Linked DNA regions of Xenopus tropicalis. The protein of the gene in region 2 interacts with the protein of the main gene of each other region in a pairwise test. Links are inferred from orthologs where the notes say so. Each region holds a gene or a part of one and is shown on either strand. Other genes may lie near its edges.

What was found.
Region 1: the proteins of bag6 (region 2) and rnf126 interact in binary tests that used the Homo sapiens proteins (3 or more experiments, as listed by UniProt). The link is inferred for Xenopus tropicalis from reciprocal best matches to the Homo sapiens genes BAG6 and RNF126.
Region 3: the proteins of bag6 (region 2) and atxn2 interact in binary tests that used the Homo sapiens proteins (3 or more experiments, as listed by UniProt). The link is inferred for Xenopus tropicalis from reciprocal best matches to the Homo sapiens genes BAG6 and ATXN2.

Annotation. Positions count from the first base shown.
Region 1 is NC_030677.2:105,797,104-105,807,853, forward strand, and holds part of rnf126 (E3 ubiquitin-protein ligase RNF126), read right to left. Parts: intron 8,292-10,750; coding exon 8,222-8,291; intron 7,892-8,221; coding exon 7,798-7,891; intron 7,251-7,797; coding exon 7,135-7,250; intron 1-7,134. UniProt on the Homo sapiens protein: E3 ubiquitin-protein ligase that mediates ubiquitination oF target proteins. Depending on the associated E2 ligase, mediates 'Lys-27'-, 'Lys-29'-, 'Lys-48'- and/or 'Lys-63'-linked polyubiquitination of substrates.
Region 2 is NC_030684.2:74,266,701-74,277,450, reverse strand, and holds part of bag6 (large proline-rich protein bag6), read right to left. Parts: intron 10,749-10,750; coding exon 10,618-10,748; intron 10,536-10,617; coding exon 10,409-10,535; intron 9,061-10,408; coding exon 8,863-9,060; intron 8,671-8,862; coding exon 8,412-8,670; intron 7,582-8,411; coding exon 7,531-7,581; intron 7,105-7,530; coding exon 7,009-7,104; intron 6,839-7,008; coding exon 6,699-6,838; intron 4,693-6,698; coding exon 4,611-4,692; intron 4,134-4,610; coding exon 3,826-4,133; intron 3,254-3,825; coding exon 2,968-3,253; intron 2,794-2,967; coding exon 2,624-2,793; intron 2,422-2,623; coding exon 2,368-2,421; intron 2,283-2,367; coding exon 2,180-2,282; intron 725-2,179; coding exon 600-724; intron 509-599; coding exon 362-508; intron 156-361; coding exon 99-155; intron 1-98. UniProt on the Homo sapiens protein: ATP-independent molecular chaperone preventing the aggregation of misfolded and hydrophobic patches-containing proteins.
Region 3 is NC_030677.2:163,116,527-163,127,276, forward strand, and holds part of atxn2 (ataxin-2), read left to right. Parts: intron 1-4,706; coding exon 4,707-4,891; intron 4,892-5,381; coding exon 5,382-5,591; intron 5,592-8,348; coding exon 8,349-8,531; intron 8,532-10,750. UniProt on the Homo sapiens protein: Involved in EGFR trafficking, acting as negative regulator of endocytic EGFR internalization at the plasma membrane.

The DNA.
Region 1 (10,750 bases), on a different chromosome or scaffold from region 2:
AATCCCACCGTGCACAAAAGGAGGTCCACAGAGAATGGCTTTGCTGAGATAGCAGAAGAAGAAATTGGCCAGCACTGAACCATGACCTCAACCCAAATGAACACCTCTGAGATGAACTGGAACACCGCTGGCATATGAGCAGGCCTGACATCCATACAAAGAAACAGTATCTCGGGCCCCACTGTGTTTTACTGGGTGCATTCAATTCCCGAGCTGCTTCCAAGCTCAACCATGCAGTAGAGATGTTAAATAGGGAAGAAGCACACCTTTATGCTGGCAAATGCCTTTAATACATTTATTTGCAGAAATGTAAAGCATAAGTTTTCGGGGACCAACCCCTTCCTCAGGTACTAAGGTGTGCTAAAGGCATTTGCCGGCATGAAGGTGTGCTTCTTCCCTATTTAAAATTTCTACAGGCCTGATATCCAACATCAGGGTCCAACATAACTAATGCACTTGTGGTTGAATGAAAGCAAATCCCACAAACAATGTTCTGAAACCCAGTGTAGAGACTTCCCAGAGGGTAGAGGAGTTATAGCAGCAAAGGTTGAAAGGAGATGTTGGACTGGTAGGTCTGTATCACGTCAAATGTTGTATTAATGTATTAATACAATTAACTGACTCTTACTGCTAGTGACTGTGTATACTTATGTATTAAAAGCCATAGGTTGGTTTCCCTGTTACATAGTGCTGTGGAATATTTTTAAAAAAGAGAAGAATATTATTACTCAAAGATGACAAACATACATATCTTTACACCATATAGATACATGGCACCAGATATCCCCCAAACTCCTGGAAACATATACGTATGCATCCCAGGCAGGGGAACTCCCATCTTCAAGCTACAGTGCAATAATTACACAAATACTTAAGACCCATACTCATGTGAATCCTATAGACCTATTTTTCTGATCAATACTGATGCAAAAATACTCACAAAAGTGCTGGCGAACAGACAAATGAAAGTAATCACATCTTTAATTCACCATGACTAGACAGACTTTATGCCACATAAGACCATTTCCATTAACCTCAGATGAATATACACACATATCCAACTGGCATACCAACATCAATCTGCCGGGATAGTGGCCTCACTAGAACTAACTAAGGCATTAGATTCAACTGCCAATATCTGTGGCAGGTGTTTGAGAAACTAGGATGTGGTTCTAAGATTATCTCATGGGTCAAACTGTTATATATGAAACCTGTAGCACAAATGTGGGTTAATAATACACTTTCTGAGGAATTTGAGTTCGAGAGAGGAACCCCTCTTATTTGCATTGGCCATTGAGCCTCTAGCAGCAAAAATAAGACTCCCATAGTCAAAGAAATCATGATTGGTAACGCAGAGAAGAAAGTAGCACTATATTCATATGATGTGCTACTCTTCCTGGCAGATGCGGGGCCCTCACTACAAACTACACTAGGGACACTTGAGAAATTTGGGGAGCTAAGCGGCCTTTGGATAAATAAAACTAAAGCCATACTATTCCCATCTGGGAGTCAAGCCACAGGAGAAAACACTCCCTTACTTAAACATCTAGATTCTGCTACCTTGGTATTATAGTTACAGTCAATGTATGTAAATGAGAATTTAAAGCCCATCTGAGCAAAGTTCAAATCTGTAATTCTCCACTGGAATTAACTACCGCTTACGCATTGGGAAGAATGAATCTCTTTAAAATGTTATATTTGCCTAAATTTCTATATCCACTGTGGAACTCTCCAGTATATACAGTGGAGGAAATAATTATTTGACCCCTCACTGATTTTGTAAGTTTGTCCAATGACAAAGAAATGAAGTCTCAGAACAGTATCATTTCAATGGTAGGTTTATTTTAACAGTGGCAGATAGCACATCAAAAGGAAGATCGAAAAAATAACTTTAAATAAAAGATAGCAACTGATTTGCATTTCATTCAGTGAAATAAGTTTTTGAACCCTCTAACAAAAAAAGACTTAATACTTAGTGGAAAAAACCTTGTTTGCAAGCACAGAGGTCAAACGTTTCTTGTAATTGATGACCAAGTTTGCGCACATTTTAGGAGGAATGTTGGTCCACTCCTCTTTGCAGATCATCTCTAAATCACTAAGGTTTCGAGGCTGTCTCTGTGCAACTCTGAGCTTGAGCTCCCTCCATAAGTTTTCTATTGGATTAAGGTCCGGAGACTGACTAGGCCACTCCATGACCTTAATGTGCTTCTTCTTGAGCCACTACTTTGTTGCCTTTGCTGTATGTTTTGGGTCATTGTTGTGCTGGAACACCCATCCACGACCCATTTTCAGTTTCCTGGCAGAGGGAAGGAGGTTGTCGTTCAGGATTTCATGATACATGGCTCCGTCCATTTTCCCGTTAATGCGAATAAGTTGTCCTGTGCCCTTAGCAGAAAAACACCCCCAAAGCAAAATGTTTCCACCCCCATGCTTGACGGTGGGGACGGTGTTTTGGGGGTCATAGGCAGCATTTTTCTTCCTCCAAACACAGCGAGTTGAGTTAATGCCAAAGAGCTCTATTTTGGTCTCATCAGACCACAGCACCTTCTCCCAGTCACTCACAGAATCATTCAGGTGTTCATTGGCAAACTTCAGACGGGCCTGCACATGTGCCTTCTTGAGCAGGGGGACCTTGCAAGCCCTGCAGGATTTTAATCCATTGCGGTGTAATGTGTTTCCAATGGTTTTCTTGGTGACTGTGGTCCCTGCTAATTTGAGGTCATTAACTAACTCCTCCCGTGTAGTTCTAGGATGCTTTTTCACCTTTCTCAGAATCATTGACACCCCACGAGGTGAGATCTTGCGTGGAGCCCCAGGTCGATTGATGGTCATTTTGTGCTCCTTTCATTTTCGAACAATCGCACCAACAGTTGTCACCTTCTCTCCCAGCTTCTTGCTAATGGTTTTGGACAGCTCTTTGGTCTTTCCCATGTTGGAGAGTTTGGAGTCTGCTTGATTGATTGATTCTGTGGACAGGTGTCTTTTATACAGGTGACTAGTTAAGACAGGTGTCCTTAATGAGGTCGACTAATTGAGTAGAAGTGTCTAACCACTCTGTGGGAGCCAGAACTCTTAATGGTTGGTAGGGGTTCAAAAACTTATTTCACTCAATGAAAGCAAATCAGTTGCTATCTTTTATTTAAAGTTATTTTTTCGATTTTCCTTTTGATGTGCTATCTGCCACTGTTAAAATAAACCTACCATTGAAATGATACTGTTCTGAGACTTTATTTCTTTGTCATTGGACAAACTTACAAAATCAGTGAGGGGTCAAATAATTATTTCCTCCACTGTAACTAATTAGTTCTTTAAAAAACTAATGAACTAATCCCATTTGGGCCAACAAAGCCCCAAGAATATCATGGCTCATGCTTACTGCTATTTTGCATCCCAATTATCCTACATACATAACTGGTTTAACCCAGACCACAGTAACTCCCTGACCGTACTGCATGCAGCAATTGTGGGCCATACGTAACTCGCCATTTAGATGAAAGAATGATCTCCCTCCTTTGCCCAAAGTATTTACCACCCATATTAAAATCTGGGCGAAGCTACAAATCAAGGCCTGTACCCCTCGCCCCTATAGAGAGATTCCAACCTGCCACATATGAGACACTTAACTGATTTCCAATATTGGCCGCAGTTAGGAATCAGGCACCTTGATGATTTACTGACTGAGAATTGTTTTATGTCACTAGAACAACTTAAGGCCAAAATCAACCGTCCAGATTGTTGGGTTCCTGACCACTCACTCTAAGGGGTATATTTATCATACTGTGTAAAAAGTGGAGTGAAGCATTACCGGTGATATTGCCCAGGGCAACCAATCAGCAATTAGAGTTCAACAGATTTCAACCAAAGCAAAGCATCCAATTGGCTGCTATTAGCATTATCACCGGTAATGTTTTACTCCACTTTTTACACAGCATGTTAAATATACCCCTAAGTGTAGGGACCTGCGGGAGCCCTCCTGCCAGGACAAAGTTGTGCATGGGAACAAGAAGTACACAACCATGGGGGCAGTTCAAACTTGTTCAGTTTATTTTTGTGTGCACATAGCTTTTATACCCTTTGTGTACATGCAAAAGCAAAATAATAAGTTTAAACAAAGATCTTCTGTACTTCAAGGCTGGCCAGTACGGGATGTGTCAGCGATAAGATACAAAATATGCAAGCTGCTTAAGGATCATTCTTGAGGAAAAACAACCATTATAGGGTGTCAAGCCTTGCACACAACAATTACAAAAAGGAGTTATATTTTAAAATGGAGTATAACTCCTAAGATTGTGGGTATAACAGGCCTAGCCTCACACAGATATTCAATTCTTTCATTATTTCCAGCTGAGACATGTATTTCCCAATTCAGGACCTAACAACTTTCAACTACACTACTGGCATGGGAAGCTAGACTTTGGGCTCCAGACCCAACCAAACTAGTATCCCAATTGTATAGCATAATTCAGTCTTCAGACCCAGCTCAATTTGATAAGGCAAAACGTAAATGGCTGGCAATAGTTCCATTTTTAGATGAGGATCAATGGGAAGAAACTATTGATAATCTATATATTTTTTAATATCACTAAGGGATAGAATGAACCATTTTAAGATGATTCACCAAATATACATTACCCCTCTGAAACTTAAGGTTATGGGGAAAGTAGAAAGATCTAAATGTTTGAAATGTAATATAGTAGAGGTAGATTTTCTCCACCTGATCTGGGATTGTCCTAAAGCAGTGCTGTCCAACTTCTGCGGTGCAGAGGGCCGGAATTTCTCTAGCATACATGGTGGAGGGCCGCTAATGGAAGCCAGTTTTGACCACTCCCCTTTTTTAAACCACACCCACTTCAAACCACACCCGTTTTATCACAATGGTGGTAGTGCAGCAAAAACCCAAATGCTTTGTCCTCACTGCAGGGATATCAACCGTTATTCATATATAAAAGGATTATATTATGTCATGTTAAGACACACCCTTAAATCCATATGCCTCCTCCTCACCTGTGGATAGCACAGCAACCCCCAGCACATAATTACACACCTTAGGGACCATTTAATGCCTGCCCTATGCTGCCTGTGTGTGCCATACTCTGCCTGTCCTATGCTGCCTATGTGTGCCAAACTCTGCCTGCCCTATGCTGCCTGCGTGTGTCATAATCTACCTGCCCTATGCTGCCTGTGTGTGCCATACTCTGCCTGCCCTATGCTGCCTGTGTGTGCCATACTCTGCCTGCCCTATGCTGCCTGTGTGTGCCATACTCTGCTTGTACTATGCTGCCTGTGTGTGCCATACTCTGCCTGCCCTATGATGCCTGTGTGTGCCATACTCTGCCTGCCCTATGTTCCCTGTGTGTGCCATACTCTGCCTGCCCTATGCTGCCTGTGTGTGCCATACTCTGCCTGCCCTATGCTGCCTGTGTGTGCCATACTCTGCCTGCCCTATGTTCCCTGTGTGTGCGCCATACTCTGCCTGCCCTATGTTCCCTGTGTGTGCGCCATACTCTGCCTGCCCTATGCTGCCTGTGTGTGCCATACTCTGCCTGCCCTATGCTGGCTGTGTGCCATACTCTGCCTGCCCTATGCTGCCTGTGTGTGTGCCATACTCTGCCTGCCCTATGCTGCCTGTGTGTGCGCCATACTCTGCCTGCCCTATGCTGCCTGTGTGTGCCATAATCTGCCTGCCCTATGCTGCCTGTGTGTGCCATACTCTGCCTGCCCTATGCTGCCTGTGTGTGCCATACTCTGCCTGCCCTATGCTGCCTGTGTGTGCCATACTCTGCCTGCCCTATGCTGCCTGTGTGTGCCATACTCTGCCTGCCCTATGCTGCCTGTGTGTGCCATACTCTGCCTGCCCTAAGCTGCCTGTGTGTGCCATACTCTGCCTGCCCTATGCTGTCTGTGTGTGCCATACTCTGCCTGCCCTATGCTGCCTGTGTGTGCCATACTCTGCCTGCCCTATGCTGCCTGTGTGTGCCATACTCTGCCTGCCCTATGCTGCCTGTGTGTGCCATACTCTGCCTGTCCGTGCCATACTCTGCCTGTCCTTAGCTGCCTGTGTGTGCCATAATCTATTTAAACAATACAGGGGGAATACAGCCTAAATCTGAGGTGAGAACCATGCAGGGGGCCAGATAATCTCAGTACTGATACCATTTAAAGTTTACACAAAGGAAAGCCATCAAAGGAGCCAGACAGGTGGGAGGCCGCGAGCCGCCAGTTGGAAAGCACTGTCCTAAAGTATTAACATATTGGACAGAAGTCATCCACTATATAAATGAATGCCTACTTCTCCCTGGCATCAGGTCTCCTGAGGTCTGCTTGTTTGGAATTGTAGACAAATTAGTGCCTCTTCAAAAATCTAGAACATTGTTACGCTCTCTCATCTTTTATGCAAAAAAGATAGTAATAATAAAGTGGGCCCCATCCTTCCCACACTTCAACAATGGGTGGAGCTAATAAATGGTACATTGCCACTGATCAAATTGACATACAACGCCCAACCCACATAACACTTCGGGGCACATTCATGAAACCGCGAGTTCGAATCCCGAATGGGACAAATTCGGATTGGATATGATAATTTCTGAAGATCGCAAATATCACGAATATGCTTACGAAAAAATCGGGAAAAAAAAAAGCGGGAAAACCTTTCCGATTTTTTTGCACAAAAGTATGAAAAAGTCACGCAAGCGATGAAAAAGTCGCCGAAAATACGCTTAGAGGTATATTTATCATGCTGTGTAAAAAGTGGAGTGAAGCATTACCGGTGATGTTGCCCAGGGCAACCAATCAGCAAGATTTCAGCAGTTAGAAAATGAAAGCAAAGCATCTGATTGGCTGCTATCAGCAACATCACCGGTGATGTTTTACTCCACTTTTTACACAGCATGATAAATATACCCCTTTGAGCGTTCGTGAATTAGTAAATCTGCCCCTTTGTGTACTCTGACACACTGCTTCTTAATCTTAAAATGGTCAATAAGTATATGATATAAACGACTGTACTTAATTATGATGTAAGTGCCAACTTTGTTTATCTGTTCTATTTCATTTTTTTTTTTATTTGTATAATGCAAAATAAAAACCTTAAAAAAAAAAAATGTAAATGGTTAGTAATGTCACCATACTGACCTGTTCTAACCAAGGGATGATGCAGTCATTGTGAAATAAATGATTGCAAGGAAGTTGCCGCACACTTTCACCAACAGTATAATCCTCTTTACACACGGGACACTCCAGACCAGAACCTAGTAGCAGAGAATGCTAAGATTAGATTAAAATGTCAGGCAAGGAGGCAGGAGAAAATAAGTCTGGTATTCATTACAGAGAAACAACCTTCATTTACTATTTACCCTTCAAGACCTGCAGCTATACAATGACAGACTAGCTGAGAACACACTTTTCCACAGGGATACATTGAAAGCAGGGCCGGATTGGCAATCTGTCGATTCTGGCAAATGCCAAAAGGGCTTCTGTAAAATGCCATAGACAGTCACTATTTATTGGGCCTCTGGATGGCTATATGGGCCTCTATGTACTTGGAATGCCAGGGTCTATTTTGAATTCCAGTCCTGAAGGAATGGGAAATATAACGATTCCTAAGCAGAAAATGACCAGCGCTATTAGTTTAAGCTAACTAGAGCTTAGGACCTATTAGTAAAGGTACACTGTTGCTTCATTAATCTTTTATTTCAATGCTATATCATACTTTTTCTGGGATACATTTGATTCCAGTTTTGCTGGATTATTGTCATGGCTGTCCCTGTGCAGGACGGCAGTAAGTTTCCCACTTACCCACATGCTCTTCTGTTATCTGGATGGTAGGAAGGGCTTGTATTTTTTCAGTGTCCGCAGGGGGAGGGCCTGTGTTTTCAAACTGATTAAGTAACTGGAGGCAGAAAAAAACCAGAGACAAGGATTCATGTTGGTGTGACTATAAGTATAAAATAATGGATAGAGTAATGGAATGTAGGTAATTAACAGACATACACATAAAAACTGCTGCACTATAGTGACTTCATTAATGAGCAACTTTATTGAAGCATCAACAATTTGGCAGCCTTAAAAGGGTATATTTGATACCCCTGTATTATATATGTTTGCACCAGTGCCATTTATCCCAAAATATGTGTATTATGGGCTTTGCACGCATTACAAAATTTGATTTATGGATTGCATTTAATAGCTGCAGGTAAGATATGTTGAAAATGTTGCTTACTTGTGTGATTATTGTATCTAGGCCATTTGCACCCCATGCATAATCCATGGGGTTGGAATGCAGGACACCCCTGTTCAGAGGAAAAGAAGGGAAACCATTAGTTAAAGCAGTCTACACAGATTCAAAATGTTGCTCCTACTCTGCACCCCTTTTTATGTATTGAGAAAATAGGGGATAGGTAAGAAGCATTAACAGTGGTTTGTAACCTACTTGCCCAACTTATTAACTAAGAAACAAATTAGGAAGCCATATAACAAAATGAACCATCAATATATTTATATATTCTTACAGCATCTTAAAGTAGAACAGGGATAGCTGTTGATTAACATTCGCACTGTACATTATATGGGAGCTGCCATGGTTACTTATGTAAGGAAATCTTGTCCCCAGACTATAATGAAACAGACTCTCAAGAAAAAGAGCTGCTTTGGGTATTAATCCCTAACCATGTAAAAAAAAAAAATTATTTGCCTTTTGTATATAATAGGATATAGGAAGCAAAGGAAAATTCTGCATGCAAATACAATAATAAGGGTGTCTCCCATTCCAGTCCAAGTTTACACAAAAAAAAACTGGACATCTTACAAAAATCTGACCCACAAATTCATTAGTGTAATGAGCCCTTAACATGGCAGTAAGTTGTATTGATGATTTTTTTCCATGCAAAAAATAATAATTAGCTGCATATTTGCTATTTTATGTGGGACAGGGCTGCCAGTATACTTTATTTGTGCCAATTACATTTCTTCATATGGTTTCCGTAACCATGATAACTCCAACTCGTGTATGAAAACAAACAAATAGGTACATCCTTAGGAATAACCTATAATTATGTTTAATTAAATGATGCATTGAATCATATGTACAAGCTTTTATTCTGCCCCAAATGTCTTTCTAAAAGGGGTACCTTGTTTTATGTATTGTGGTAGCACCCAGGTATTGACAGGTTTTGGAAGGAACTACTAAAATTCATGGAAGAGATTTTTCCTCTATGAACCTTCTCTACTTAAAGGGATACTGTCATGATTTTTATGGCATACTTTTTATTTCTAAATTACACTGTTTACATAACAACTAATCCACTCTACCATTTAAAATGTTATTCTTGAACCAACAAATGTATTTTTTATAGTTGTAATATTGGTGTGTAGGCAGCCATCTCAGTGCCTTGTACCTGAGTCTGAGCTTTCAGAAGGAGCCAGCGCTACACATTAGAACTGCTTTCAGGTAACCTATTGTTTCTCCTATTTCCATGTAGCTGGAGGAGTCCCACGCCAAACTTGGATTTCTTACTATTGCATGCTATTCTGATATCTACTGGGAGCTGCTACCTTGCTACCTGCCCATTTTTCTGCTGATCAGCTGCTGGGAGGGGGATGATATCACTTCAACTTGCAGCTCAGCAGTAAAGTGTGACTGAAGTTTATCAGAGCACAGGTCACATTACTGTGGCACCCTGGGAAATGAAGAATATGACTAGCCCCATGTAAAATTTCAAAATAATATATAAAAAAAATGTTTTTGAAAAACAGATTTCAAGGCAGGATTGTGCTGGAGAAGCTCTACTGACTGATGTGTTTTGAAAAAACATGTTTTCCCATGGCAGTATTCCTTCAAGTTTGTATCTGCTGTTCATCACTGGTAATATATCTATGCACTCTTATACTCAATAGTTCGCTAACTATTAAAGGAGAAGGAAAAACAAAATTGCTTCAAAATTACAGACATATTCATATTAGTAACATAATGCCCCAGCTCAGCTCTGGGTTGCTTTGTTTGCCTATAAATCAGCCACAGTCCGTCCTACAACCTGGCAACCTGTTAATTTCCAGTGAAGCTTCCTTTGCTTCTTTAACAGTGAATTTCTGGGTCCAGTGCATGTGCATTTGCCTGCACTGCTGCAGAGTCTTCCTTTTTTTTTTTTTCCTTTGCATACGATAATCTTGACAGTTAGCCCCGCCCGCCTATTCACACTCTCCAATCTTATTGTAGCCCTATTTTTTCTAGGACAACAATATACACAGTCCTGCACAATGCGTCAGAAGAAAGCAACAGGAGGAAGTGACGTAGGGATGGTGCAATGAAGCAAACTGCGCTAAACTTAAAAACTGATATCACGAGTTAATAGGCAAAATTTATTTTTTTACCTGTAATATTGGTGTGTAGGCATTTTGCCCTGAGCTTTCAGAAATACCAAGCACTACACAATAGTTCTGCTTTCAGATAAGCTATTGTTTCTCCTACTACTCAATGTACTGTTGCATATTCTACCCAAGTCGCATAATAACGAAACAGGGTTTCTCTTGCTCCAGTGTCATTCTCATGTTTACCACTAGGTGGAGCAAATGATACACATTCAGCAATGCAAACTATTTATGAATTCATTTAATTTCTACAATGCTGAAATCTTTTCCAGCCTTCAGGAAACCTACTTTTAGTAAGAGAGTCTGGGGTCTCAGAAATCACTTCATGTATACGGGGCTAACATTTTTTGATTATTTTCTATCCTCCTTTCCCTCCTTCTGCCTT
Region 2 (10,750 bases):
TCTCAAAGCTAAAGAACAAAGGATGGAATGAAAAATACAAATGCCATTTGGTGCACCATTGTGACAGAGAATGATGCCTGTCATATGAAGGATATTACCTGACAATCAACAGGTGTGGTTTCCATAGGTTGATCCTGAGATGATGCTTCAGGAGCCTAAAGTAAAATGCAGAACATTCAAAAAACCAAAAGTAGTGTGGATGAGAGAAAGAAATACGAAGAAAGAAAATAATGTAACACAAAAGGCAATTTATTGTTATACTGATGTATATTTAGTTTTGCTATTTCCCTACTGTGTTTTTCACTTTTCAAAGTGCAGAAAGTACAATTCATTTAGTGCCGTAGTAATGACTTTCTCTCACCTGCGGAACATCTCCCACTCTCCGTATATGTCTCTGTATCTCGCCCTCAGTCACAGGCATCTGCCCCAAGAGCACTTGAAGACGGAGGGACAGGACAGACGTCACCCACGAGACAAGCACAGGTGAAACATCTAGAGAGAGTCTTCGCTGTAAAAACAAAACACACATTGGAAATATAATGCAGACCCTGAAGACATGGGAAGAAACATAGGAAGCAAGACAAAACACAAAAACGTACAATTCTCTCATTAATGACAGATGTGAGAGCACTCTGGTCCCCTCGGAGGCAATACAGGTTGAGAGCAAGCCATTCAAAGAGAGACTGGTTACACATCTCAAGAAGCCGCTGTCCGAATGTGGAATCTGCAGGGAAAAGGCATTAATAAACTAGAATTCTAAAAAAAAAAAAAAAAAAAAAAAAAACTTATGTTCCTGTATGGAGTTTAGTTACTACTCACAACTGTAACACACAGACTAATCTACACTAACCATAATCAGGTTTGAAGCCTGCTTGCAGCCCCACCTCTTTACAATTAAATGACCAGATTATGGCAGGTCTTCAGAAACAGTGCTATCACTATATAGTTCCTGAGAGTCATGCAACAAGAAAACAAAATAATGTTCACCATAAAAGCACAACTAAAAAGCTAAAAGACAGTCGACTAAAAAAAAAAAAAACCCAAAAAACAAACTACAAAATCATATCTAGATGGTACAAATGCCCGGCCACTTTACACACCATGTTCCCAAACGTATCAGACAAGTGTTGGCGATGCAATATTCAGCGAGGTGATATGAAACATATATGGTGGGACTGTCCCAACCTACAACCATTCTGGACCCATGTATTCCAAACCATCTCTAAAGTGCTATGCCTTGACCTCCAACCCGACCCAGCCCTAGCACTACTCTCTAAACCCCCTACCAACAAACAAATTTCTATTAAGCAAAAGGGTCTCCTTGCCTTTTCATTAACGGCAGCTAGAACAGTTATACCCAGACTCTGGAAGAATACCAAACCCCCAACGATTGGAGACTGGGCGATTGAGCTCAACCATATTATGAGAATGGAAGAAATGTTAGCACATACCACCAAATCACGTGAAAACTTCACTAAAGTCTGGACAACTTGGATTCTATACAAAGAATCTCCAGAATATGGTCAATTACAACCAAACAACCAGCAACCCAATCCAGACCCAGGTCTAAGCCCTTGGAAACCCTGTAAAAATATGAGCAAAATCAATATCCTGGTATGCCACAACACAATATAATACACATACCTCTGCCAGAACATAAGACTATACCAAAAGTACAGGTACAAGTTATCACTGCATTGCTCTGCTCTACCCAACTTTTACCCCCCTTTCTCTTAGGGTAAAACATAACAGAAAACAAATAACTACCCTCTACTGTATATGGTCTCAAGTACAGTAAATTATTAAAAAAAAAAAAAAAAAAACACGCAATGACGTAACTATACAAACTGTGATAACTGTAACAGACCATTGATACCCCTACCCCCTCTTTTCCCACTTTGTATGTTATCCTTTTTCTTTGTAAATATTTGAAAAATGAAAAAAAAGAATATAAAAAAAAAAACAAAAAACTTTATTTCAGTGGACCTTAGTAAGTTACTATATATGAGGGACAACAAATTTGCTGGCATATGGGCTCTGGTTGAGGCCTCACGATACCATTGTTTATAGTTGCTGAGTGCATCATCTGTTTTATATGAAGGGAGATAGACAGTTCCCAAGTAACCAAATAAAGGTTTAGAGCAAGACTTTAAATGTGGATCCTTTTCCACATAGATACCTGCACAATGTAGGATGTGTGTTGTGATCCTGTTGAACTGATCCTGTAGAAATTCAAGGTTTGTTCTTGTGATATCAACATCATCACGCACAGTAACGGAGGCCTGGTAGACATGACACGGGGACAAGATTAGCGATATAACCACTAAAACAGTCAGTGTAAAATATAAAGGACAAAAAAATTCTTACAAAGCTTTCTCTTATGTACTCTTCCAGGCCATTAGTAAGATTTCTTGATGCCATCTGAAAGAGGCAGAAAAAAGATGTCTTGCTTATGGGATATAAGATAATATATATTAAAAGTTAGCATTATCACTGGGTGCTAAGAAAGAATCTAACTTCTGTGCAGAGATCATACTCAAAGGAATAAAGGATCAGCATTTTACTCCCCAAGTGAGATACACACCCACATTATAGCTGCAGAAAGGAACACATAGTGACATACCTGGATGTTATTAGGTGTGGGATCTGCCTGGTGTAGATACTCCTGAAGAAAGAAGGATCTCAGTTGAGGCTGCAGATTCTGCAAAGGCTGGGAATGACCATGCAGTAACATTACCATATCGACCAGGGAGAAATTGTGACAAATCAAGGTGAGTAAGTCACCAAAAAATCCTGGAACAAATGAGGCAGGAAACAAGTTAAAGGCCAAATTTTAGAGAAAGAATTCTAAAAAGAAAAAAGCTGGAGTAAATGGAAGAAACAATTGAAGGGGTGTAGAGAAAGAAAAAAAGACATATACAAAACGAGAAAGGGGCAAAAGGAAAATGCCATAGGGAAGTTTCCTACCACCAGGTCCCTCTGCATCAGGCTGGAAAATGTTGTGGGAGCCACTGAGCCTCTGAATGAAAGCTGCAATGCTTTCTGTTCCACTCTGATCAGCTGCACTCAAAGACCCCAGCATGGATGAAAGGACACCCTGAACAACACTAGTGAAAAACTCTGGAGGAAGAGACTCTGGTGCGGCAGCTGGAGGGGGAGAGGAATGGGCAGGAGGTGGTGAGGGTGATGAAGGAGGAGGAGCCTGAGAAGCAGACTGGGGAGGAGAAGTAGAAACAGGAACAGTCTGTGTAGCCTAAGAAATCAAAAAGAGAAGGATAAAGTTAGATTGTGTTTACTGATAGAAACTCATTGTATTTTCCCTTGTATAACCTATTCCTATTTTACTGCCTTGTGGTATCTACACATCTCTGTATTCCAAAGTCTTATTTTTTTGCTTTTTTAACAAAACACCAAAAACAAAGACAGCAGAAAAAACAGACAGTTGAGGACAAACATTATTATAGTCTTGCTTTACAGGAAGGCAAACACAAGCATCACAACTCACTGGTGAGGTTAGCTACCTCTTTCTAATTCTAAATACAAGTTCCATTTTATTTACCACCAAGGCATTTCCAAAACATTTTAAAAACTAGCCTACAAACCACTGACACCAGCTTCCCCACAGAGAAATGCGTAATTTGTATCTACAATGTAATTAACAAAGCTGGCTGTATGACCATTATTTACTAAATATACAAAAATGTTAGAGATGTTTTGTGACTTATAACGTATTTAAATATTTTTGTGTTACTGTTCCTTTAAGGACTGGAAAAGCATACGTATGCAACTGCATTGCACATGCACACTGAACACCACAATAGGTACCTGTAATATATCTGTGACACCCTGTAAAAAGGCCGGCATTCCAGGCACGGTAACAGTAATACTCGGCGAACCCATAGCGAAGTTTGACATCCCTGAGCCGGCAGTTCCCAGTAAAGAGCCCAGGAGCTGAGAGAGGTGTTGATCAGTGCCAGGTGGGGGCTGGGGAGAGGGACCTGATGAAACAGTGGGGAAGGATGTGGAAGAGGTGGTTGTTGTAGAGGTAGTGACAGTGGAGGATGAAGAGGAGCTGGAGGAGGATGTAGAAGTTGGGGTTGACGTAGAAGAGGGGGTGTTGCTGCCACCCTGAGCTGTGAAAAGAGAAGAATAACTGACAAATCAGCAAGAGAGAAAAATAAACAAAAAACAATCATTAGTAAACAAATGAAAGGCACTCAGCATTTACTTCAGTCTTGATTCTCTAACCTCAGCTTGTCCTGACTATAAAAATGACCAATGCAGTAAAATAACCACTTACACATAGACAGCTTGTTATAGAATCAGCATAGACAATTATTAATTTAGTGTTCAGTTACTTAAACCCGGCCTACCCAGTATTAATTACCTGTACAGGCTTATACATAAACTAATATCTTTTAAAAATAGGGAATGAGAATCTCCCAACCAAAAGTGTCCAAATTAGTTCTATTTCAGTATTATTGCAATATCTGCAAATACACAATGTCTTTTACAAAACCTTATGTTAAAAGAGAGAAAAAAAACAAGAAAGGAGAAGCAGGCAGATAGAAATTAGGTCAGGAAACAAGACATAACATTGGCCTTCTCACCAACAATAACTGGGTGCATCAGAAGCTGTCCAACAAGACCGCTGATCATCTGAGCCAAGGAGGCATTTCCTGCTGGACCCACCTGGAGACAGATGTAGGAGAAAGAAAGCTACAGGTTACAATGTCAAATTAAAATCTTAAGAAAAGAGAGTGCCAATAAATACAGGGTAAAGTGGGTGATGGGTTGCAGCCAACCAGAAATGATCTCAAATGACCAGTAACATCAGGAAATTAGGGTGCACCATGTGTGTTAATTATAGTTTAAATGTTCTCTGTGTGTGATAATAGCCCTATACTCTATTAATCACTATAGAATAGGTTGGACTTTGTTTAGACAAGAGGCGAAAGCTGGATGAGCAAAGAAAATAGTTTTACATGTTAAGGATGACACTGCGGGGCACATTTACAAAGCAATTTTCAGAAAAGGTTGATATTTTTTTTTACTTCTAGATATTTTTAACATTTTCTAATGGGTTTTCGCTGGTACCCGATTTTTCCGATATTGTTTCTCAAAATTTTCAGAAAATAACTCCCATAATCTATTATTCATTAACATTTATTTAACCTTTTTTTTGTCAAAAAAAAAAATCGTCAGGTTTGATCTGTTAAGTACAATTGAGTCCTATGAAGGCTTAGAATAGTAGAGGAATAGAATAGTAAGTGACGGCCTGTCCTTCACACATTTTTAACAGGAAGTTAAGCACCTCGTTGTTTTCTATCTCACCCAGATTCAAGGGGAAATTAATCCTATGATTGTTTTCAATTTCACCCAATTTCAAGGGGACATTAATCCCATCCTTGTTTTCTATTTCACACACTTTCAAGGGGAAGTTAGTCCCATTACTGTTTTCCATTTCACACATTTTCAAGGGAAGTTAATCAACTCACTGTTTTCTACTTCACATAGTTTCAAGGGGAAATCAATACCATCATTGTTTTTCTATTTTACACATTTTCAAGGGGAAATTAATCCTATCAATGATATCTATTTCACCCAGTTTCAAGTGAAACAAACACATTGTTTTCCAAGAATACTCCTAAAATGTCTGCTGGAGCAATTCTTGTTTGGAAAAAACAAACGTCCATTTAAACTTTTACATTTTTCAAGTTTTAACAATACTTTTGGCTCCAAAAAGTAAATTCAAAATTTTCGTACAGTGATTGAGTTTAAAGGAGAAGGAAAGTCAAAATCTATTAAGCACCCTATTAAATAGTACTACTATTGCTGTGTAAAAACACTATATTTCTGGCTTGCCTAATGAAAGATTTACAGAGATACACTTACTAGAACTTACATACTTGTTTCAGTGAACGGCGCCGCCATCTTGTCCAGCATGTCACAGAGTGTCCCCCCCCCCCTTCCTCACAGCATGTCACAGATCATCCTCTGCCGGCAGCACACACACACCCCTGCCGCCCAGTGGCTCGGCAGCTACTCGCATCTGCCATATAAGGAAGAGATATACTCACCCACCCCCCTTCCCCGCCGCTCCCCGCTCCTGCCACAAACCCTCCGCCGCTCCCTGCACCTGCCTCCCCGCTCCCCCCACCTGCATGTCACAGAGTTCACCGTCGCTGCGTCACCATGGCAACCAGACGCTCCTGCTGTGTGCGTATGCGCCGCCTGCAGTAACAAGTCGCCAAGTCTGGGAAGGAGCGATGCATTACGGGAATCTTCTCTACCCAGCTCAGCGTTTTTTTTTCCTGTTTGGCTTCAGATCTTCTGAACAGGTGAAGTTTGGCGAGACTTAAGGGCACTACTGAGAGAGCTGAAGGTATGCCTGCAGCTTGAGATTAACTCTTTATTAGCCTTTCCTTCTCCTTTAATTCAAATTTATACTATGACCTTGAAGGCCAGAAAAAATGAATTTTAGTAAATCAGCCCCTAATGTCACTATGACACTAAATGTATTCTGAGAATAGGAATAAGACTGTCACCTATTAGAAAAAAACTGATTGTTAGGCAGCTGAAAAGTTAGTTAATAGATCATAGAAACACTATGAAAAATGAGGAGAAAGCTTGCCAAGACATAAAAATGAATATTATGTAGAGGTGTAATCTCAAATATAAAACAGAAACTTTCTTACCGTTTCCCCAGGTACAGCAGTAGTTGCCCCTCCAGGTCCTGGTGGGGTAGTTGCTACCCCAGGCTGGGGTGGAAATGAAGGGGCAGCAGGCCTAGTAAAAACAAAGCGTGGTGGAGCTTGGAAGCCAGGAATTTGCTGCCCTATAAAAAATACATGAAGATTGTAAAGCTTCTGAGGTCTCTATCTATATTTACAGGAATCTGTTATTTCTTTTATTCCTTGTGGGATATGGTACAGTAGTGAACTCTATTATCCCTGCTTTAATTCCATCAGTGGTATATAGGGATACCAAATAGCATAATGCACTTACCTGAAGCTGCAGCCACAGCTTGCTGTGTAATCTGGTGAGAAATTGCCTGCATGAACTCAGGGGGTAATCCTGGCATATGAATGTGTGCACTTCCCCCTACACAATAGATGGCAAATTATATCCTATTAGTGATCTATTACAAAATTCCACAACATAAATGCATTTCAATATAACAGTTGTTACAGGATTTTAATATATAATGTATGTATGTATGTATATCTTTATTTCTAAAAACTACTTATGTAGGCAGCACTGTACAGTAGAATAGATTAATACAAACAGGGGGTTATTAAAATAATAATAGATAAATACAAAGTATAACAATAAATACAATGTACAGTTGCAATAAGTTAAGAGTCAAAGAGACAAGAGGATGGAGGTCCCCGTAGAGCTTACAGTAACTTACAGACATAAATAGGCAAATACAGGTGCTGTAGGTCACAGTGGGTCACACTACAATATATATGCTAGTTCCCAGATCAGGTGCTGTATAATGTTATTATATATTATCTTGTGACTTACCATGCCCCGCAGTTGGTGGGGGAATGTTTGTAGGGCCACCAGGTCCAGAATCTTAGAAGAGAATTGATATGTTATTATTGCTTCAAAAATGTATTTCATGAACAACATGTGCAAACGTGGAATAAACAGTGAGTTCCACAGCAACAAAGATATTGGAGCATGACACAAACAAAGGAGGATGAAGCAGTTAATAAAAGGAAATCAAAATTTGCAATATTAGGGGCACTGATTTAGGTCACAAAGACTATATATGGAAGAGCATGAGTGATATTAAAGGGGAACAAAATTTTTTTAAAAAAATTAAATATGGATAGAAATGCCATATTTTCTATTGTGGACATACTGCACAAGCCTTAAGTTTCAGCATCTCCATAGCTGCAATGATCTAGGCCTTCACAGTTGTCACAGTTGCTCCACATCTTGGATTTTGTGGAGTGACACTGCACATGCTAAGTGTGCTCTGAGCAGCTGTTGAGAAGCTAAGCTTAGGGGTCATTGCAAATTATCAAACAGAAAATTAGGTTTGCCTGTGATTAAAGCTGTTACAACAGGCTGATTACAACATTCTGATGCTAATTGCATGGATTTCAGAGCTGCTGTGTACTAATACATTGTATTATTTACTAATTAGCCTTATTTTGTGACATTTATATTCTATATATACAGTATATTGTGTATCGGCCCCTAAACTCAGTAAGTGACAGCAGCACAGAGCATGTGCAGTGAATCGGCAGAAGTGAAGATGGGGAGCTACTGGGGCATCTTTGGAGGCACAGATTGTCCCTGCTAAAAGACTGTGGTTGCCTTGGGCTGGTACAGAACCCTAATTAAGCTTTAGTTCTACTTCAATGACAGTTATATATAAATTACAGAACACCTACCCTGAATGTTCATATGCATCATCATGACAGGCTCAACAGTCTGGTGCGTAATCCGTACAACACGAGGGTGGGGATGTGGAACTGAAGTGGGAGGGATCTCAGAAGCTGGTCTCTCTCCACTGGATGGAGGTTGGTTGTCAGAGTTAGATCGCTGAGGTTCTGAAGTATTGGTAGGAGTATGAGCAGCATTCCCATCTGAAGGCATCTGACCAGCATGGGTTCCATTCCCAGTCATAGTGACTGTAGTACCAACATTAATCTAAGACACATATTATAGTGTGAAACAAAGGCAGGAAGGGCAAAGCTGCGAAACAAGGAAAGGAGGGATAACACAGAACAGTGGCAAAAGACAGGAATAAAAGCCAATGAAACTGTAAAAGAAAATGGGGCAAAGTATAGGAAACGTATACTAATAATAACTTTAACAAAGTGTTCTTTTGAAGCACAGTACCTGTATTGGTATAGCAGCTTGCTGTAGTAGCATGGGCCCAGTGTAATGGGACATAGGGCGAACAACATGCAAGTGTCTAGGAGAAGCAGAAGAGAGATTGCAGCGCAAGTCGGATACAGCAACCAGGGCATTTCCCAGGAGACGAAGAGATTCTCCAACTAAATTAATTATCCGCTGGGACTGCTCCCTTTCTTCCTGCTAGGGTTTAAAGCAAGGGAAGCAATATTTAGAAATAGAATAATGGTACAATTCATAAAATCTTTTACATTTTAAATTAATGGATTCAATCCAGCAGACAGAGAATGTGACACAAAAGATCTAGCCTAGCCATGTATCACCTGGCCTTAGCATCAAAGACTGTACAGCCTTCTGGAATATGCTTGTGCTGTATAAATATTTGGCAGTAATAAAGCCTAATCTCTTGCTGACTCTATGCCAAGCTCCTGGTAACACTTTGTTCGAGATGCCTGAAGTCAATGAATTCACAGAATAAAAAAGGACTAACATAATTGTAAAGATTTAGCTCAGACTAAACCTTATTGTTTTGCTATCTGTACTATCGCTACTACAATAGCTTGGAAAATATCTATGTATATAAAACCACACATATATATGTTTTGTGTCTATTCTAAACATGGGGTAGAGCAGAGATAATGATTTTGAGCAAGTGTGCACATGCTTATTCAGCATAGTTTATATTTGTTTTAAAATTGCCAAAGATTAACTTGTGTCAATTATAAGGCAAAACACAGGATGATTTTAGGATTGTCCATCCATATATCAAATCCAGTGGGCAAATGGGTCAAATATTGTGTGAACTGTTTATCCTTAAGGGCAGTCAAATGGCATTGTTCCATTCGCTTGGGCTGACAAATCAAACAAGTATATCTGAGAGGAATAAAAAGAGGCTAGGCCCTCATCTACCCATGAACCATCCACACAATAACATAAGGCATTGACAGATTAAACTTAACAGACCTGCAATGCAAGAGAATCATACGACTGTGATGCAAGAATATCATAGGTCCCTCAAGGTGCCATTACATGCACAGATGTTTAGGCAGTACTCTCTCTACCATTTCATATAGTCAGTGCTGGCTACAATTCAGCAAATATATTGTTTCAGTACAACTGAATTTTTAACCAAAAACCCAATACACCTATCTGCATTCTCACACATTCATAGTATCCTCTTATAGTTCACAGACCATGTTATTCCTCCATATCCAGAACAGCCCATCATACTATCACAAAACCAGAACCTATTCACAAATTTCACCTATAAAAGCCTATACCAATGCATACAAATATGTGATTTGCCAAATATAGTCCAGCTACTGACCCTTAAAAAATGCAAATATCTCTTTACTTATCTGTGCCTTTTTCTCACAAGCATCAACTCAAACAGCCATGAATAATGTTCCTTATTATCTACATAAATCATCAAATTAATCTTAATAAGTTGCTTTTTAAACAATCAATTAATAGACATTCTGTAAGTATGAAATGTTTAACACGTGAATCTTTTACACATCAGGCAACTTACATTCTCATAGGCATCAGAGGTAGCACTACTAAGGATTTCCCGGTAACGTTGCATGAAAGGGGCTAGACGTTCCTCAACCCGTGACAAAGACTGCAGGACCTCAACATATTCTGATGGTGAAGGATGACTAAAGCAAAAGAATTATTATAAGCTGTTGTTTTAGAAAAGGAGATAAAAAAGGGGTGGGGGGGGTGGAATTACAGTTTCACCTGGTAGGGGCTGTATTCGACTGCCCATCTGTATTCTGTGTAGTCTGAGGCAAGGTTTCTCTACTGCTGGCCTCTCCTTCAGACACTGCTGTGTCCATCGGTTCTGCAGTCTGCTCATTAACTGGTTGTCCCT
Region 3 (10,750 bases), on a different chromosome or scaffold from region 2:
TTGGTGACAGTTCCCCTTTTTAAATCTACTAAACAATCATTTAAACATGACATAAACCCAATAGGGTTTTTTTGTTTTTTTTAATCTCTGATAAGGGTTAATTTATATCTTAGTTGGGGTCAAGTAAAAGGTAATGTTTTATTACAGATACAAAGGAAACCTACTTTTAAAAAAATTATTTGATTAAAAACCCTCTAGAACAGAGGTCCCCAACCTTTTTTTTCAGTTGAATGTTGCTCACAGGTATAAGTGTTCCAAAAAAGGTTCCAGAGGTGCCAAGTAAGGGCTATGATTGACTATTTGGTAGCCCCTATATGGACTGGCAACCTATAAGAGGCTCTGTTTGGCAGTACACTTGGTTTTTATGCAACCAAAACTTGCCCAAAAGCCAAGAATTCAAAAATAAGCACCTGCTTTTTTGAGGCCTCTGGGAGCAACAGCCAAGGGGTTGGTGAGCAACATGTTGCTTGTGAGCCGCTGGTTGGGGATCACTGCTCTAGAGGATGTTCTTCCTGTAAATCAGAACTTTCTGGATAATGGGATTCTGTATATCTGATCCCATACTTGTGTGTGTGTGTGTGTGTGTGTGGGGGGGGGGGGGGTGTGGTTAAAGGTAGATATACAGGTACATTTCATTTTGAAAATAAATAACAATTACATTTTCATTCATAGATTTTAAAACATAGGTAAAAAGAAAATTGTGCCATGTACAAAAGTTTGGACACCCCTCTACTACTTAACTCATTAGGCCTTAATAGCCATTTGGAGTTGTCACCAAGTTACCATTGCAGAGCTTATTAAAATCCTTTAAACTTTGGATTACTCTCTAAGCAGAGTCAGAATCTGAAATCTGCCTGATAAAACTGTAATTTATAAACCACATCCAAATAAAAGCATAAATGTTATCGGTATAGCTCTGTCCTGCCAGAATACAAGCTCAACTTGTGAAAAGATCCAGTGTACATGAGCAACAGGACAGTGCAGTTTGAAGGCAGCTCTTGCTTGATATCATGTAATTTGTCCATACAAACTGTGTGTGTGTGTGACCAATATCTTTAACCTGGCATCAGCTTGTGGCTGCTATGCCCTGATACAGTGACGCTAACTGACAAAGTAATCGCTAGTCTAACTTGTTTGAAACTTGTTGAAAAAAGACCAGAGTCCATCAAGTTCAACCCATCCAAGTAAACCCAGCACACACAACCCACACCTCCATAAAAGGCGACTAAATTAGTCTGGCAAGATCTGTTAAGCATAAAACCATGCTGGCACAAACTTATAGTATTGTGAACTGCAATGTATTCAAGTACCCTATCCCTTATTACCCCTTCCAAAAGTTTTCCTACTACTGATGTTAGACAAACAGGCCTATAGTTTTCAGGCTGAGAACGGGATCCCTTTTTAAATAACGGCACCACATTAGCAATTCGCCAGTCTCTCCGCACCATGCCAGACCTCAACGAATCCTGAAAAATTAAAGGAACAGTAACATCAAAAAATTAAAGTGTTTTAAAGTAATTAAAATATAATGTGCTGTTGCTCTGCAAAAAACTGGTGTTTTTGCTACAGAAAAGCTACTATATAAATAAGCTACTGTGTAGCCATGGGGGCAGCCATTAAAGCTGGAAAAAAGGAGAAAAGGCACAGGTTACATAGCAGATAACTAGTAGATAAGCCCCATATAATGGGGGTTTATCTGTTATCTGCTAAGTAACCTGTGCCTTTTCTCCTTTGAATGGCTGCCCCCATGGCTACACAGCAGCTTACTTATATAAACTATAGTAATCTTTCTGAGGCAAACACACCAGTTGTATCAATGCAGGGCAACAGTACATTATATTGTCATTACTTTTATACACTTTCATTTTTTGGTGTTACTGTTCCTTTAAGTGAAGAGGCTTGGCAATCGCAGCGCTCCGGTCATTTAATACCCCTGGGATGAATCCCATCTGGTCCTGGACCTTTGTTTACCTTTACATGTTCAAGTCTCTGTTGAATTTCCTCCCGAGTGACCCATGCGTCAGTAGCTTAATTACTAGAACTGGGCATATTAAAAGGGAAGCCTTCATTAGCTGGCTCCTCAGATGTATAGACAGATGAAAAATAAGAGTTCAAAATTTCTGCTTTTTCCCCGTTCTCATCAACCAACTTACCCCTCCGTGATAATAAGGTTCCCACCCCTTCTTGCTTCATTTTATTACTATTCACATAATTAAAAAATAATTTTGGATTCTTTTTACTCATATCCCTTTCCATCTCTATTTTAGCTTGCCTGATAGCTTTTTTTGCATGCTTTATTTGCTTCCTTGTACCTGATGAAAGTTTCTGCTGTCCCAGCTAACTTGAATGCTTTAAAAGCACGTTTTTTTCTTACCAACCTCGAATACTTTTATTCAGCCATAAAGGTTTTACTTTGCAATGCCTCTTCTTGCTTACAAGGGGAATATACTGTTGTGTATACCTGCAAAGCAATGTTTTAAAGATGTTCCATTTTGCTTCTGTATCTAACCCTATGAAAAGCCTTTCCCAGTTGACACATTGCAGAGATGCCCTTATACTGGCAAAGTCTGCACGTCTAAAATCGAGCGTTTTAATTACTCCCTTTATAGTCTCTGCAGCATTAACTCAAAGCAAGACCATGTTGTGATCACTGTTCCCCAAATGCTCACCCACACAAATGTTAGAGACGAGTTCAGTATTATTAGATATTACCAGGTCCAAAATAGAGTCATTCCTAGTAGGTTCTTGAACCGCCTGAAATAAAGTTGTCATTTAGCGTATTTACAAACCTACTAGCTTTTTCTGACTTGGCCACCCCATTACTCCAGTCAATGTCTGGATAATTAAAGTCCCCCATAATAACAACAACTTGACCCAGTTGTGAAGCCTGGGTCTCATCCCCCTCATCTATACGGGGTGGTTTATGGCATATACCAATGATCATTTTCTTTGTGACCTTCAGCCCTACTGAAATTTCTACCCAAAGAGATTCAACATTTCATTGGTAATGTCTTTATTACATGGCTTTATATCTGACAAACCCCTCCACCCTTTTTAATCTCTCTGTCCCTCCTAAAAAGTGTATAACCATTTAAATTCACAGCCCAGTCGCATTTATCATCCCACCAGGTCTCAGGTGATACCAATTAAATCATAATTTTCAATACATGCAATAGCTTGCAGCTCCCCAAATTTACCCGACAAGCTTCGCGCATTAGCCAGCATGCAGCGGAGATTACTACTTCTCCCTCTGATGTTTACATTAGCTAAGGGAGAGTTGGAGCTAAGGCAAATATTAGACTGTTATCCTTGTAACTGAGGCTCCTTATCCGATAAACTATATGCCCCCCTCACTCCTCCCCCACAACCCTTTGCTAGTCCAACTGCCCCGTCTACACTAGCTTTCCTATAGAACTCTAGCTCACCCACCCATATTGTGGTTGTAGTTAAAAATTGCTTGGTTAAATTGCATTGGCAGGTTACAGCCAGACTAAGCAGAATTTGGTGCAAAATTAATGATGGAATAAACAACCTGTTAAATATTTGGGGTGGATCAATTATGCCAACGTTGTTTGATTTGAAAGGAAGGATGGTTTCCACTTAATATACTAGAATGTTATAATTTCTGAAATAAAGTTGCATAACCGTGCATTAAGATTTTGCATGTAAAAATAATTTAACAGAATTTTTAAAGGGTGACTCAAACGTTTGCATTCAAGTGTGTATCTGTATGTATGTGCAAAGTCAAAAATATATATGGAATATATGAGATGAGCTGAAACAATCAAGGGAAACTCTTAGATGCTTGTCACTAAGAGGAAATACTAATGGAAATCTGTATTATATATATATATATATATATATATATATATATATATAAATATATAAATATATAAATATATAAATATATAAATATATAAATATATAAATATATAAATATATAAATATATAAATATATAAATATAAATATAAATATATATATATATATATATATATATATATATATATATATATATATAAAGTTCAAAGTATCGGCACTCACCAACCAGGAACACCAATGTCCGGGTGCTAACCATAAAATAGTATAAAGTCTCGCAGAAAGCACTCCAGGAAAAAATAAAAAACAAAAAAGTTTATTTAGACCCAAATGTCTACGCGTTTCGATCCATGCCGGATATAAATATATAAATATATATATATATAATATAATATTATATATATATATATATATATATATATATATATATATATATATATATATATATATATATATATATATATATATATATATATATATATATAATATATATATATATATATATATATATATATATATATATATATATATATAATATTATATATAAATATATATAATATTATATATAAATATATATAATATTATATATAAATATATATAATATTATATATAAATATATATAATATTATATATAAATATATATAATATTATATATAAATATATATAATATTATATTTTATATTATATTTTTATATATATATATAAATATATATAATATTATATATAAATATATATAATATTATATATAAATATATATAATATTATATATAAATATATATAATATTATATTTTATATTATATTTTTATATATATATAAATATATATAATATTATATTTTATATTATATTTTTATATATATATATTATATTTTTCTATGATGGTTTTGTAGAGAAAACAAGTACATTCCACCAGTGCAGAGGAATAAAGATGCCATGTTATGGACAACTCACAGTGGGAGGCAAACTTCTGCAAGGATTGGACAGTCTGGATCAGGGCCCATTCCTTCAAGGACAGGATCCCATTCTTCTGACTACAGCCCCAATGCTGGAGCTGATCAGAGAGTCATAAATGGAGGCAAGTAATTCATTAGCTGATCAAGGTTTTTAAAAAATATTTTTTAGTACATTTACAAATGTACTGTTTAAGTAGTATACTGTTGAATGGTAAGTGTTTTTATTTAGGGTGGTAGCTATAACATGATTTGATATGCTATTTCCTTTTGATTTAAGAAATACATACACATGCTGGTCTTCCCTAGGAAGAAAGTGGCATTGAAAGTTAAACTAAAAGGGGAGAAAGTAATTGAAAAAGGGTCAATTTAAAGTAACCTTTTGTGTAAATTAATGTACATTTTATCTTAATTATGGTGCATAAACTGTGTGAAATATGAGTCTTTTTGTAGCATAAAATATCTTTTGCTTCTCTTAAGACGTGCGAGAAACCATTTCCCCTCTGTTGTATTTTACTTTTTTTCTGTTGACTTGTTCCCTACCCCTTCATCTCATTATTTTTTTTTTTACTTTCTTTTATTATTACTTTTCCTTCATCTCATTTGTTCTGTCAGGTGTTCCCTGGCCATCGCCTTGTCCATCTCCTTCTTCCCGCCCACCTTCTCGCTACCAGTCAGGTCCCAACTCTCTTCCACCTCGGGCAGCCACCCCTACAAGGCCGCCCTCCAGGCCCCCTTCGCGGCCATCCAGGCCCCCGTCTCACCCCTCTGCTCATGGTTCTCCAGCTCCTGTCTCTACTATGCCTAAACGCATGTCTTCAGAAGGTACAACACCTCTGTTTTATTTTTTTTATTTTTTTCCCCTTTGTATTGTCAGTTCCATCATGCCTACAGCATAGGGAAACCATGTCTTCCATCTATAAGATGAGAGCATGATAGGTCTAGATTCATGCTGTTGTGATGGGTAAATATCAAAACATTTATAATCCCATTTCATCTTCTCCTTTGGTTTTCTGTGGCTCTTTTTGACAACCCTTAATTTTTGAGCCAAAAATGGCTTTAAAACTAAAATGCAAAATGTAAGGCATGTTTCATCCAATTACCTTAAAGGGATACTGACTGAATTTTTATTTTTATTTATTTTTTTTAAATTAGAATTTTGCCGTAAAATTGTTTTCCTACTGCTTTTTCATTACTAATCAGATTCCCCTCCCTCCCACATTTCTGTATTAGGGGCTGCCATATTAATGCTCAGGAGTCCGTTAGCATTAGAAGCTATAACTGACAGGCTGAGAAGGGACAGTCAGGTTTAGGAACGTCAAGTAGCCATTAATTACAAAAGCAAATCTATCGGTGAAAAATGATCAAAATGACCCATAGGTAACTTTAAATGTACATTAATTTTTTGAAGTCTAGTTTTTTAGTGTCAGTATCACTTTAAAAAAAAAAAAAAAATAGCAGTACCTGGAATTTAAGAGGTTTTTTTTTTTTGTTTTTTTTTTAAAAGAAACCTTATCTGCAATTTGTTGTTGTTTGGTTTTTTTTATTAATTTTTCCTCCTGTTTAAGGCTTCCATTTGTTGTATTTTCCTTATAAATAAGCATGGTCCCAGACCATGCTTATTTATAAGGAAGAACATGATTTTGGGCTCATACACAAGAAAATGCCATAGGCAGCATATTTCTTGTTGAAGTGGCTGTTGGCAGCTACAGGCATTTGAAGTTGTGTGTTTTTTTTTTTTTTTTTTTTTTTTTTTTTGTTTTTCTTGAGGGGACAATCTTACAAATATGCAATTGGCCTAAATTGGTAAGAAATCCTCTATTTTTCTGTGGTGCTACACACAGAAAAGTGGATATCCTACAGTGGCCCAGTCCAAGCTCTGATGTCGAGCATCATCTGACTTACATGCACAGTCTGGTCCAAATTGCAAAGCTGTCCCAAAATATGACCTGACGGTCTGTACAGACGGCTGTATGTAGGTAATTTTTTTTTATTCTACCTGTAGTTATTAGAGAATTTTACTGACTTTGGACTTGCTTGCTGTAATCTCATCCCCCACCTTTTGTCTTTAGCATATGGCTAAATGGCTCCTATTTTAGTTATAGCTGTGTTTTGATTGTCATATATACATTCCTTGTCAATAAGCCTCACCTCCCATTTTGAAAAAACCTAATAAAAATTTATGAATAAAATATGGTTAAGCTTAGTAACTTAATGTAAGTCATATGACTTTAAGTTATTAAGCTTAACCATATTTTATTCATTCATTTTGTCTTGCTTTGAGTATACAGCATAACGAATCCTTCAAAAACTATGCAAAGCGCTCTCGGGAGGCCAGGGCCATTCACAAAAACAATAATGTAGGCGATTGGGAGGCATCATTTATTGACCCAGCCACCTACAGCTGCTGTGCTGTATTGCTTTGCCTTTAATTTCCCTGACAATTGCCTTTATAAATAGTTGCCAGGGCAATGCATAATATGCTATGTAGGTACTTGTTTGTGCACTTTTAAATTGTGCATAGTTCTATTAGATAACAGAGTTGCTTTAAAGGTGTCCTTCTTGTAAAAGGCAAAATGTTAAAATGTGGTTACTTAATACTTCAGGTCACAGATCACAATCTCAGTTTAAGATTTGTTCCTTAAAATTAGACTGACAGACTAAGGTGTATGTTTAATGCATATATATTATTACACCCAGCCCCACTTCTTCTTTTTTTTTTTTTTGCTTTTTAAACAAAACAAAAAATCTAACACTGTATAAACATTCTTATAAATAAGCAGCTGACTGCACTCCTTTCTCATATTAGTAGTCTGTCTGGACTGTGTATGGGCCCAAAACAATGTTATCAAGTGCAACTGATTAGTTGAGGACAGCTTTGGCCTATAGATAAAGTTTGCATCCAGTGGGACTGCACAGGTCCTCCCCCACCTCTATTCAGTCTGATTTGTCCATCCAGCATGGGCAGACTCGGTTCAGTTGGCAGCACTGTGAAGTAACAGCCAGTGTTCAGTGGCTAATGTCACTGGTGACTGGCACGTTTGGTCTAGAATAGTGGTAATTGTAGGGGGAATTCTGCAGGGTACTTTAAAGCCTTTTAATGTTTTGCATGTAAATCTTGTTTGCCTCCATTCCTGTAGAAGTTAGTGAACTGCAAGCAATAAAGAAATCTTTGATAATGTTGATGTCTGCAAAACTATATTAATTTGCTGCTATGATATTTACAATTGCTTGATTCATATGTATAGGTTTAAAGGCAACACTTTCTATGCTTAAACACTTGGTCTTTTCTTTGTACTAGGGATGCACCAAAACCAGAATTTGGTTCGGTATTCGGCCAGGGTTTGGTCCTTTTTGGCAGGGTTCAGCCGAATCCACGGTCCTGGGTGAACCGATTTGGAAGGTTTAAATGTTTGCGTTAACACGAAAGCAAAATATTTGCCCCCTCCGGGTTTGGTTCGGTATTCGCCTGAATCCCTTGGGTTGGATTCAGGGGTTCGGCTGAACCCAAAAAACTGGGTTCGGTGCACCTCTACTTTGTACCTTTTTTTTGAGAGTCTGATTAATTATTTTGTATTTTAGGACCTCCAAGAATGTCTCCTAAGGCACAACGGCATCCTCGTACCCACAGAGTTTCTAATGGTAGGGGCACAATCTGTGGAGGCTTAGAATTTGTTTCTCGCAATGAACCTGGAGAAGTGTCTGCACAACCCGTAGCTCGAAATAGTTCCTCTGGTGGAACGTGGTCTTCTGTTGTAAGCGGAGGCAAGTTTTAGAATTGTTCTTTTGTAAACTTTTACAGGCAATCTTTAAAAAAACAAAAAAAAAACTTATTATAAGAAGATGATTGTTAATGTTACCATATAAATCTTTGCTCAGCAAATACTTCAGCTCTGCGTGATCTTCGGGAGGATGGGAGACTCTAAGATTAAGTTTTGTAAACCAGCATCGAAAAAAGTATTATACCATAGCTGCCAGCAACAAGTTGAATCGTGAAGAAGGATTTGAACAATAAGGCTGCTATAAACACCAGTAATATTTTCCCCCAATATGGCTGCGCCAAAGAGAGGTGCCTCTGCGGCCTACCACTGTTTCAATCCCACAATTAAGACTATACAAATTTAGAGATCTGTGGAATACATAATTTTTTTTATTTTTTATTTTTTTTTAAATTTGACTAAATACTGAAATGAATCTTATCTTAATTAATGTATTCAAATCTGAGAAAAACATAAGTGAACCAAAAATTGTCGCATTGAATTATACAGGGCTTTTAATGCCATACTCTTCAGGTTTTTGAATTGGTTTGACTGAACACTAAGATTCTGAATCTTACAAAAAGTGCCAAAAGTACTGCAAATAATGAAATTGGAGCCTTATTTTTGTTCTTTCTTTAATATGAGCTTTTTTTTTAAGCTGTATTGAAAACAATGGTCTGTTCATTTAATTGATGTATGCGTAAAACACTGGAACATAAGACACTAATAGTGGTGGCTCTCTTTACATTTCCAGCAATTGGAACCATTTTGGATGCCCAGTTACTTGTTGTGCTTCCCATTCTTTGAGTTGCCCTTTATGATCGAAACATCTTGTGTTCTGTATCCATAAAGATGTCTGCCTCATGCTATGGATTTAAATGTCTGTAGTGTACCTTGTTTACCATTCTAGTCTTGTTATATTATAACTTATTGATATTACAGAACAGAAGATTAGCTTCTTAGCTGGTTGGCTAATCTCCTGTGTGGATATCTGAAATCTCCTGCACACTGATACTTACGCCCACACTGCATGTAGTATTTATAGATGTTTGTCACTTAGTTATGTTATATTAATATTTTTTTGTGTAAATGAGAAATATATATACATACATACATACATACATACATACATACATACATACATACATACATACATACATACATACATACATACATACATACATACATACATACATACATACATACATACATACATACATACATACATACATACATACATACATACATACATACATACATACATACATACATACATACATACATACATAATATTCCAAGGATTGTGCGCACTCCAATTCCAAATGTTAAACTTTATTCATGGATAATCGCATACGTTTCGGTCATGGTCTAAGACCTTGTTCACGATGTTATACCCTTAATATAAATTACATACAATAAAACTTTATATACAAGATTAATCCCACCCACTGGTCACATGTCAGCCAACCGGCCCCACCCCCCTCCCCAGACATTAACCATGTCATCAAAGGGGTGCGGGAAATCCGTATGAGGCACAATGACTACTAAACTTCCCTGCATAATACTACCTCAAGTCAATGAATGATATTAAATGATATTAAATTAGGGTGCTTTAGGTGCCAGACATGCATATCCTGCCGTTATGACACCTGGTGAGACTTTTACACACCCACACACGGGACAGAGATTTAAAATACGGCATCGGATTACGTGTACCACAACCCATGTAATTTACCTTGTCACATGCCCGTGTGGGCTTTCGTACGTTGGTACAGGTTGCTACTCCAACGTGAATCCTTTTGGATTAGAAAACTTGATACACTCACCAAGGGGGCTAAATGAGTATTGTTCTCTGCATTGTTTTTTGCCAGTTAGGTGACTTTAAGTGACTTGAGGTAGTATTATGCAGGGAAGTTTAGTAGTCATTGTGCCTCATACCTGTGTGAATAGGGATTTCCCGCACCCCTTTGATGACATGGTTAATGTCTGGGGAGGGGGGTGGGGCCGGTTGGCTGACATGTGACCAGTGGGTGGGATTAATCTTGTATATAAAGTTTTATTGTATGTAATTTATATTAAGGGTATAACATCGTGAACAAGGTCTTAGACCATGACCGAAACGTTGATGTAAAGTTTAACATTTGGAATTGGAGTGCGCACAATCCTTGGAATATTGTATACATGGAACAACCGTTTTGCAGCACCCAGAGAAACTATGTGAAATAT